2 linked regions of the Oryctolagus cuniculus genome follow. The protein of the gene in region 2 interacts with the protein of the main gene of each other region in a pairwise test. Links are inferred from orthologs where the notes say so. Each region holds a gene or a part of one and is shown on either strand. Other genes may lie near its edges.

Region 1 (4,489 bases), on a different chromosome or scaffold from region 2:
GTCATCCTGGCTCAGCCGCGCCTCGTGCGTGGCCAGCAGCTCCCGGCCCTGCTGCAGGCTCTGCTCCAGGCGGTTGGCCACGTCGACCCTGAGGACATCAGCAGGGAGTGGGGGGTGCCGCTGGGCCCCTCCAGCCCAGCCCGACCTCCCTGCTGCCCGCCTGGCACCCACTTCTCCTGGGCCGAGTCCAGCAGCTGCACCAGGCGCTCATATTTCCGGTTGGTGTCCTCCACGCGGGTCTTCAGCAAGGGCGCTGAGCCGCTGCCTGGGAGGGCCTGGACGAAGGCGTCACACTCGGCCGTGCTGTGCGTCTTCTCGGGCTCGATACGTAGCAGCTCCTCGGCGATGCTCTGTGGGGACCAGACCCCCCAGGTCAGCAGCCGCTTCCCCAGGGATGGTCCTGGGGTGGGCATTAGGAGACCCCAGCGCTTCAGGGGCGGTGGGAGAGGCTGGAGAGCCTGGGCACCAGCCTGCAGCCGGCATTGTTAATCGGCACGCCAGGGAAGCCCGGTGAAGGTGGACTGTGAACCAACAGGTGTGGCCAGCAGTGGCTCAGGTAGGACTGGTAAGCCCCACCGCAGAGGCTGCTGGGAAGACACGGGAAACCACTTGTAGAAGCAGCAGGTGCAGGGCGCCAGGCACCTGCCAGGGCTCCACACATCACCAGGTGCCCCAGAGTCGGGGCCGGCCCAGGTAGCTGGAGTCGGGGAAGCCGGCGGCCCTCCGTGGTGTGTCTGGGCTCAGGCAGCTGGCGGCCGAGCTGAAATCCCAGAGCCCGGCACAGCCCAGCTCAGAGTGGCAAACCCCACTGCTGATGGGAGCCTGGGCCGGGTGCTGAGCAGGTGCTGGGCAGCCCCGCTGAGGCCACACGGGTTTTGCCAGCTCCGCCTAGGCACGTGTCTGGGGGTGGGGGGCATCAGGACCAGGCACCTTGCCGAGGGCCTGGTCCTTGGTCTAGAACCTGGGGTGGCGACAGCAACGTGCCTCCCCGACCGGTTCAGGATCCGGTTATGGTGCCTGGCTGCGTGCAGTGAGCACCTGCGTGGACTCCCGGGACCCCACAGGGGCCTGACGGTGAGTGGGGGCCCAGGGCCGGTCTGTGCCCCGGCCCAGCAGTACCTTGAGTTCCTTGGCCCGCTCGGCGCTGTCTTGCACAGCCCGGCCCTGCTCCAGCGGCGGCCGCAGAATGCCCGTGATGGCCTTCTCCTGCCGCTCCAGGTCGCGGGCCACCTTGTCCAGGCCGGCCAGCAGCTGCCTCCCCTGTAGGTCCGAGGCATCTGCCAAGGAGGCACATGGGTCACGTTGGGGTTTGGGAGGTGAGAGCCAGGGGCCTCAGGGGCCAGGAGGAACCACTGGGCAGGCAGCTGCCCCTCTCCCTGTGGTGCCAACCCTCACCACCCTGGCCAGAGCACAGAACCTGGTCCCCCAGGGCCTCGGGCAGGGGGCCCCAGCGCCCACCTCCAGGGTTCTCTGTCTTCAACACTTCGTGCCGCTGTTGGAGTGCGCGCTTGCTCCCGGCTGCCTTCTGCCGCACGCTCCGGTACTGGCTGCCCAGGCTGTGGGCAAGAACGAGCTGGAGCCCTGGGCAGCCCACCATCCCCCCGGCCACGGAGGTGAGAGGCGGGCACTGGCGGCGTCAGCAGCCCAGAGGGACCCCGCAACTCGGCGAGTGCTCTGTGAGGCTGGAGGCCTGATGAGGACGGCCAGGGCCGGCTGCGACACTCGCCCGCCATCTCCGCTCCTGGGTTCAGAAAGACACGCCCCCCCTCCGCCACCGCCTCCCTCCTCCTCCTCCTCGCTTCACGGCGGTCATGCTACCCAAAATCCTCTGTGTGTTCACTGGTGTTCCCCCCAGGATGTTAGCCCCGAGGGAGGGTATACAGTAGGTGCTTAGTAAGCAGTTGTTGGATGCGTAAATGAAGGCATTCCTTGAACCACTCACTCCCCAGCGTTCCCAGGTGCCTGCTGGGCCCTGCAGGTGCCACATGCTGTGAGCCCCGGCCCAAGCAGACCAACCCACACCCAAACTGCTGAGTCAACAGCAGTGCAGCTGTGTGAGACCCCAGGGGAGGGGTAGGGACCGGCCCGAGTTGTTTGGCAGCTAGCGGCACCTGCAGAGGCCCGGGGGCACCGGCAGAGAAGCTGCTCCTTGCCCAGGCCCCGTCAGCAGAGCAGCCAGACCAGCCTGCCTCCCGGCCCCCTGCCCTGCCCTGCCCTGCGCCTCCCTGGGGTGAGGGCAGCAGGTGCTGGTGACCCCCTGCTGCTGGGCGAGACGCCCCGGGCTGTACCTGTCCGCCAGAGCCAGGGCCTCGGGGTCAGTGGGCGGGATCATGAAGCAGACGGCCGGGGCGGTCAGCTTGTTCCCGCCGCCGTCCAGGAGCTCCCAGCTCTCGCCGTTGTTCTTCTGCAGCGTATAGCTGTACCCCCGGGAGATCGGGCCCTGGCGAGGGCGGGCCCGGCAGTCAGCGCACGGGAGACCCGCCTCGGCCCGGGCCGTCTCGCCCCCGCTCCCCCAGCCGTCCCCAAGCCCTCCTGAGAGCTCTAGCCCCGCAGGTGGGGAGGGCCGGGGGGGGGGGTCTGCTGGGCTAGCAGCCCGCCTCCCCTCCCTCCCCGTTCCCAGTATTTGCATGAGGGTTAGCCAGCGAGAGGCTGGTGTTCCCAGCCACAGTGCCTGCTCCGAGGTGGCCACGGGGCTCACCAGGGCCAGCGCCAGCCCTCCCTGGGACTTCCTGCTGCCGTCCCTGGGGTTGCTGAGCTGGTAAGAAGGCCAGGGCGGGCGGGTGGGGCTGTGCGTGGGCTGCAGTGACAGCGCGGAGACGCCCTCCGGGAAAGGGCAGCTGGGGGCCAGGGCTGCTCACCTGCTCGCCCTCGAAGTCGCACAGCGCCTCCACCGGGATGGGCTTGAGCGGGGTCTCCCGCCGATACTTGAGCGGCACCACCTGCTGGCCTCGCTTCTGCAGCCCCCGCACCACGTCCTCGTACTTGTCCAGGGCCTTCTCCTGGTCCTGCAGGGAGTGGCCGCTCTGGTGAGCCCACCGGCCCCGCCCCCGGGGGGAGGGGCCGAGGCAGGGCCGTCACTCACGTCCAGCTCCCGCAGCAGCAGCTCGATCTGGTACCGGTCCTTGAAGTCGGGGCTGAACTTCTGGTTCAGGTCCGAGTCTACCTTGTGCAGCAGCTCCTGAGCGTCCTTTACATCCTTGTGGAACTGGGCGGGGGGGGGGGGGGGGACTCTATCAGGAAGCCTCCGGCTGTGGCTTCAGGCTCCCCATCCGGGCTAAGTGCAGCCCAGGGCCTTCCTGGGCAGCAGGACACGGCCCCCTCTCCGGCCGCCTCCCCGCGAGCCTACGACAGGGAGGTGTCCACTGCTGCACCAGGAAGTCCCGGTCCTTCACCCCGTTCCCCTCTGTGCGAGGAACACACGGCACCGTGCGGCTTGGGTCAAGGGCGGACCACAGGCGTGATGGGATCCCATAAGGACTGGGGACGTCACAGCCCTTAGGTTAAGGCCACTCTGAGGCACAGACAACGGCAAAGCACCGCTCGGGACAGGTCGGTGTCGTTAAATGGTGCGAGACTGCGCCTTCATCCCAAGCCTCGATGCACCCCTGCCCCTTGCTGTTCCTGAATATTCTCTCGCGCACCTGCTGTGTCGCTCATGGGCAGGCGTCCCCTGGGCTGAGGTTCTGAGCTGTGGCCACCAGCAGGACCGAGGGATCCCCACGAGGCTCCCTGTGTGGCTCAGACAGCGAACCAGGGGTGGCGCGGCGTCTGTCACCTGACCCCCACTCGCTCCTGTTGAACCACAGGTCTACCCTGCGACAGAACGCTATCCAGCCCGGAGAGTGAACGAAGCGACGGGGCGAGCCTTTGTCCTGGGTTAAGATGTCCTTGGGACACCCACGTATGGTATCCGAGCGCCCGGGCCCGATCCTGGCTCCACTCCCGATCCGGCTTCCTGCTATGCACACGCTGGGAGGCAGCGGGGGGCGGCACGAGTACGTGGGTTCCTGCCTGGGCGGAGTTCCCAGGGAGGGCTCCGGCCCAGCCCAGCCACTGCAGGGGTCTGGAGCGAGTCAGTGGTGGGTGCTCTCTCTCTCCCAGGCTCACTGCCTCTCACAACTAAAGGATGAAGGCCTGACCCACACCGTGACACAGCTGGGCCCTGCGCACGAGAGGTGGAGTGACAGGAGCCACACAGACCACATGTTCAAGTCTCCCCTGCTCCTCACTGCCAACGGGGACAGGCAAGGCCAGTGTGGACAGCGCCCACGGGGACACTCTCTCTGCTCAGGGCCGGTGTGGACAGCGCCCACGGGGACACTCTCTCTGCTCAGGGCCGGTGTGGACAGCGCCCACGGGGACACTCTCTCTGCTCAGAGCCGGTGTGGACAGCGCCCACGGGGACACTCTCTCTGCTCAGGGCCAGTGTGGACAGCGCCCACGGGGACACTCTCTCTGCTCAGGGCCGGTGTGGACAGCGCCCACGGGG
Region 2 (4,489 bases):
CTTCCTGTAGGTGGCGATCTCAATGTCCAGAGCCATCTTGACATTGAGCAGGTCTTGGTACTCGCGAAGGTGGCGAGCCATTTCTTCCTTCATGTTCTGAATCTCATCCTGCAGGCGGCCAATAGTGTCTTGGTAATTAGCAGCTTCAACAGCAAAGTTCTCTTCCATTTCACGCATCTGGCGTTCCAGGGACTCGTTCTGGAGGAGGTGAGAAAGGCTTCAATGTTATTTCCTAGAAAAATCCGGCTATTTCCAGAACCATGTACAGATCATTTGCCATGTTTTTCTGAAGTGGCAAATGGTGACCACTGTAATCTTAGATGGAGAATATTAAGTACCATATCCCTCTACTAGAATTAATGATATAAGAGTGGTCTTCAAAAGTTCATGGAAAATGTGTATTATGAAAAACCATGCATGGATTTCAAAAGTTTATGCATCAAAAACTCACCCCCAAAAAAGGAAACACTTACCTTTTAATTCTATTTTCCATGAAACTTTTGAAGTTCCCCTAAATGTAAGCTAAAACCTTCAAGATCTCCATCTACTGCTTTTTGAGTCTTTCTTGATAACTCATTTTCTTTGGTGTGTCATATTTTTTTCATTTAAAATTTTGTTTCAGATATCACTGTTAGTTTGGTCAGTAGAATGGGCCCGAGCTCATTCTTTTCACTCTTGCATTGTCGTGTGGTACTCACAGTTCCTTTAAGCGCATCCACTTCGCAGGTGAGGGACTGCACCTGTCTGCGGTACTCATTTGACTCCTGCTTTGCCTGGCGCAGGGCATCGTTGTTCCGGTTGGCAGCCTCAGAGAGGTCAGCAAACTGTTGGAAAGACATCAGTAATGTAGACTGCCCACATTCAAGAGATCACACCATTCTGCCCCACTGTCTACACTTAAAGCAGAGAAAGAGCAGTGGAATGCTGATGCTGACAGTTTCAAACAGAATTCATTTGTACTTTTTTAAAAATGGTGAAGGTCAAGTGCAAAGTTTTGAGGTTTTCTTTGAAGTAGGTGGAGGAAGATTAGCAGAAAGGGAAGCTGCTAGACTACAGGAAGTGATGTGAGCAGTAGGGAGGCCGCAGCAACAAAATTTGAATAAGTGAAAGCCAACTTTTTTTTTTCTTTTTTTTTTTATTTTTATTTATTTATTTATTTATTTTTTTTGACAGGCAGAGTGGACAGTGAGAGAGAGAGACAGGGAGAAAGGTCTTCCTTTTGCCGTTGGTTCACCCTCCAATGGCTGCCGCGGTCGGCACGCTGCGGCCGGCTCGCTGCGCTGATCCGATGGCAGGAGCCAGGAGCCAGGTGCTTTTCCTGGTCTCCCATGGGGTGCAGGGCCCAAGCACCTGGGCCATCCTCCACTGCACTCCCTGGCCACAGCAGAGGGCTGGCCTGGAAGAGGGGCAACCGGGACAGAATCCGGCGCCCCGACCGGGACTAGAACCCGGTGTGCCGGCGCCGCAAGGTGGAGGATTAGCCTAGTGAGCCGCGGCGCCGGCCGAAAGCCAACTTTTGATTGGAGCTAAAATCTATCTAGGAATTACCGGCAGGTGCAGTATTTCCAGATCGAAAAAATACTTTTCTTTTGTTCTGACCACACTGCCTCATTGCATACCTTGGACTTGTACCATTCTTCTGCCTCCTGGAGGTTCTTGGCAGCCACACTTTCGTACTGCTGACGTACGTCACGCAGGGCAGCTGTGAGGTCAGGCTTGGAGACATCCACGTCGATCTGGACATGCTGTTCCTGGATCTGGGCCTGCAGCTCCTGGATTTCCTGAGAAAAGGACAGACGGGAGGTCAGCCGTGCCAGCTCCGACAGCAGCTCTGCCCTCACTGACTCTCTAAAGGCTGCTCCGCTTACCTCATCGTGCAGTTTCTTCAAAAAGGCAATCTCTTCCTGCAAGGATTCCACTTTACGTTCAAGGTCAAGACGTGCCAAAGAAGCATTGTCAACGTCCTGTTTTCAAAAGAGAAAAGACAGGGCATGGGGGACGCTGATGCGTAGGTTTAGCTCACTCATTCTTTTGAAATTAACCATACATATCCCGTCTGGTCTCCTTACTGTGGAAAACATGGTTGATAAATTTCATGATCCTCAAATAAGTTTACAAGTCACTTAGTACTATGCTATGTTGTATGCTTTTTGAGTTTGAATTTGGACCCACTGTGCTGTACTCATGGTGCCTAATAGCCAATTTAAAATAGATAAATGTATGCCAACATTGTAAGCTGCACTCTATTATTACTGAGCCCATATTTTGCCAGTAAGGCTTTATTATTTTTTTAATCTAGAAAATCAATGCCATAGCATTTTCAAAACTTTTTTTTGTAATTTCTTGCAATAACATGATAATAGAAGTAAATTGGACTCTACAATTTCATGTCCATAAGAGTACATGTAGAGAAGAAGTTTCAGCACAGGGCAAGTAAGTGCTTGGCTGAGCAGTTAAGATGCCCGTCCATGGCTGGCGCCGTGGCTCACTAGGCTAATCCTTCGCCTAGCGGCGCCGGCACACCGGGTTCTAGTCCCGGTTGGGGGCGCCAGATTCTGTCCCTGTTGCTCCTCTTCCAGGCCAGCTCTCTGCTGGGACCAGGGAATGCAGTGGAGGATGGCCTAAGTGCTTGGGCCCTGCACCCGCATGGGAGACCAGGAAAAGCACCTGGCTCCTGCCATCGGATCAGCACGATGCGCCGGCGCCGGCGGCGGCGGCCATTGGAGGATGAACCAATGGCAAAAGGAAGACCTTTCTCTCTGACTCTTTCTCTCTCTCTCTCACTGTCCACTCTGCCCGCCCTGTGTCCCGTGTCCCATATCAGAGTGGCTGGGCTGAAAACTCGCTGGGCTGAACACTCGCCACTGGCTCTTGACTCCAGTTTGCTGCTAATGGGAGGCAGCAGTAATGGTGCAGAATAAGTGGGTTCCTGCTGCTCGTGTGGAAACCCTGAAATGAGTTCCCAGCTCCCAGCGTCAGCCAGGGCCAGCCCTGGCCATTCAGGGGATTTGGGGAGTGAACTAAGGGATGGGAATTCTCTCCCTCTCCCTCCCTGTCTCTCAAATTAATTAATTTTTAAAAAGTTTTGGCATATCTGTAAGTTCTTTTTCTTTCTTCAAAGCAACTACATGGTTAATTGCAAGGCTAGATTTATACCAAGTAGCCACCCAATGCTGAATTCAGGGTGTGCCTTCACAAAGGTGCAGTTTAGGCAATTAAGGAATAGAAATTTGAACTATATTCGCTTTGCTTTCTCTGGTGGACTATTCTGAAACTCCCTGACTTGTCCTTTAAGGGCGTGTCCGTCTTTGTACTTGCCCGGTGTTGATTCAGTTCCTTAACCTGTTTCAGAATGGTCAAATGCTTGCATGTAAGAATCTTTGCAGCTCTTGCTCTCCTTCTACATTCCAATTAAAAATGTGTGATCTTGCAGTTAGGATTTCATTTCCACTCAAGGGAATGTGCTAAGTTAGGTCCTTATACCCCTTCTCTTATAAGCAACTACATTTGGGGTCCAGTTTACAGTTTTCTAGTCTTAAAATGTTGAGACACTTCTAAAACCATCATGCAAAAGTGAATAAGGAGTGAGTGATAATAAAAAGACCCAACTTGGAAAAAATTAGTGTTTTTGCTTCTTGTTAAGCACAGGAAAATATAGATATTTTACTTCTTATATCATTGAAGAGAATGAGGATTTTTTCCCTTATTTTTTTCCTCAACGGGGGATCTATTATATCATGTTATGGGGGTAAAAATCAGGAACAGTGATCAGAGGCAGCAACCACACATTGCTGTGTTTCGATTAATGAGGCAAATCTTCAAAATGTTATCCTAGACTGTTCACCTGAGTGTGTTTGGTAGCCAACCCCAGTGAATGTTCCAGAGAACCAAGCCATGATGGGGATCTTCCTGTTTTAGGATTCCAATTGTAAGTTAAAATTCCTTTAAGTCCATCTAACTTTAGAGCCAAAAAAAAAAAAAAAAAAAAACACTCTGCAGTTATTTTTGTTGATGGAGATAGTGTCAAAGACCCCCATACAGGTCTTTCAAAACACAAAGAATGACTGTAGCGTGTGCAAGGTTTCACATCGCAGCCTTCCCAAGTCTGGGCCAGAGAGTAGGTAGCTGATGTTGGCAAATACTTCTGTCCAATGAGAACTGTGCTTACATCACTACATTCTCAATGAGAATGTAGCCTGCAGCAAAGCTGTTCTGGGAACACAAAGACTCCTATTATGTCTGTCTAGGGCCACCACATTTGCCAGCACGTCTGTATCTACATTCCTGGTGAAGCCCATGGGAACCACTAACACCCTTCAGCTGAGCGCGCAGATGGCTGTGCCTAGTGATAACTTCCACCTAACTTGAACGCCACAATAGACTTGCAGAGCAGGGAAGCAGCCTACTGGCTGCATGCCAGCGTCTCATCCTCCAACACATTTTACATTGGAAGCCACAGGGCCTAACTGCGCTTTTTGTGGCCTTGTAA

The links. The genes of interacting proteins can lie anywhere in the genome.
Region 1: the proteins of VIM (region 2) and PPL interact in binary tests that used the Homo sapiens proteins (3 or more experiments, as listed by UniProt). The link is inferred for Oryctolagus cuniculus from reciprocal best matches to the Homo sapiens genes VIM and PPL.

Annotation. Positions count from the first base shown.
Region 1 is NC_091450.1:30,767,338-30,771,826, reverse strand, and holds part of PPL (periplakin), read right to left. Parts: intron 3,206-4,489; coding exon 3,083-3,205; intron 3,006-3,082; coding exon 2,859-3,005; intron 2,441-2,858; coding exon 2,289-2,440; intron 1,557-2,288; coding exon 1,459-1,556; intron 1,278-1,458; coding exon 1,120-1,277; intron 351-1,119; coding exon 172-350; intron 89-171; coding exon 1-88. UniProt on the Homo sapiens protein: Component of the cornified envelope of keratinocytes. May link the cornified envelope to desmosomes and intermediate filaments. May act as a localization signal in PKB/AKT-mediated signaling.
Region 2 is NC_091444.1:43,372,768-43,377,256, reverse strand, and holds part of VIM (vimentin), read right to left. Parts: intron 1,965-4,489; coding exon 1,869-1,964; intron 1,782-1,868; coding exon 1,620-1,781; intron 825-1,619; coding exon 699-824; intron 199-698; coding exon 1-198. UniProt on the Homo sapiens protein: Vimentins are class-III intermediate filaments found in various non-epithelial cells, especially mesenchymal cells. Vimentin is attached to the nucleus, endoplasmic reticulum, and mitochondria, either laterally or terminally.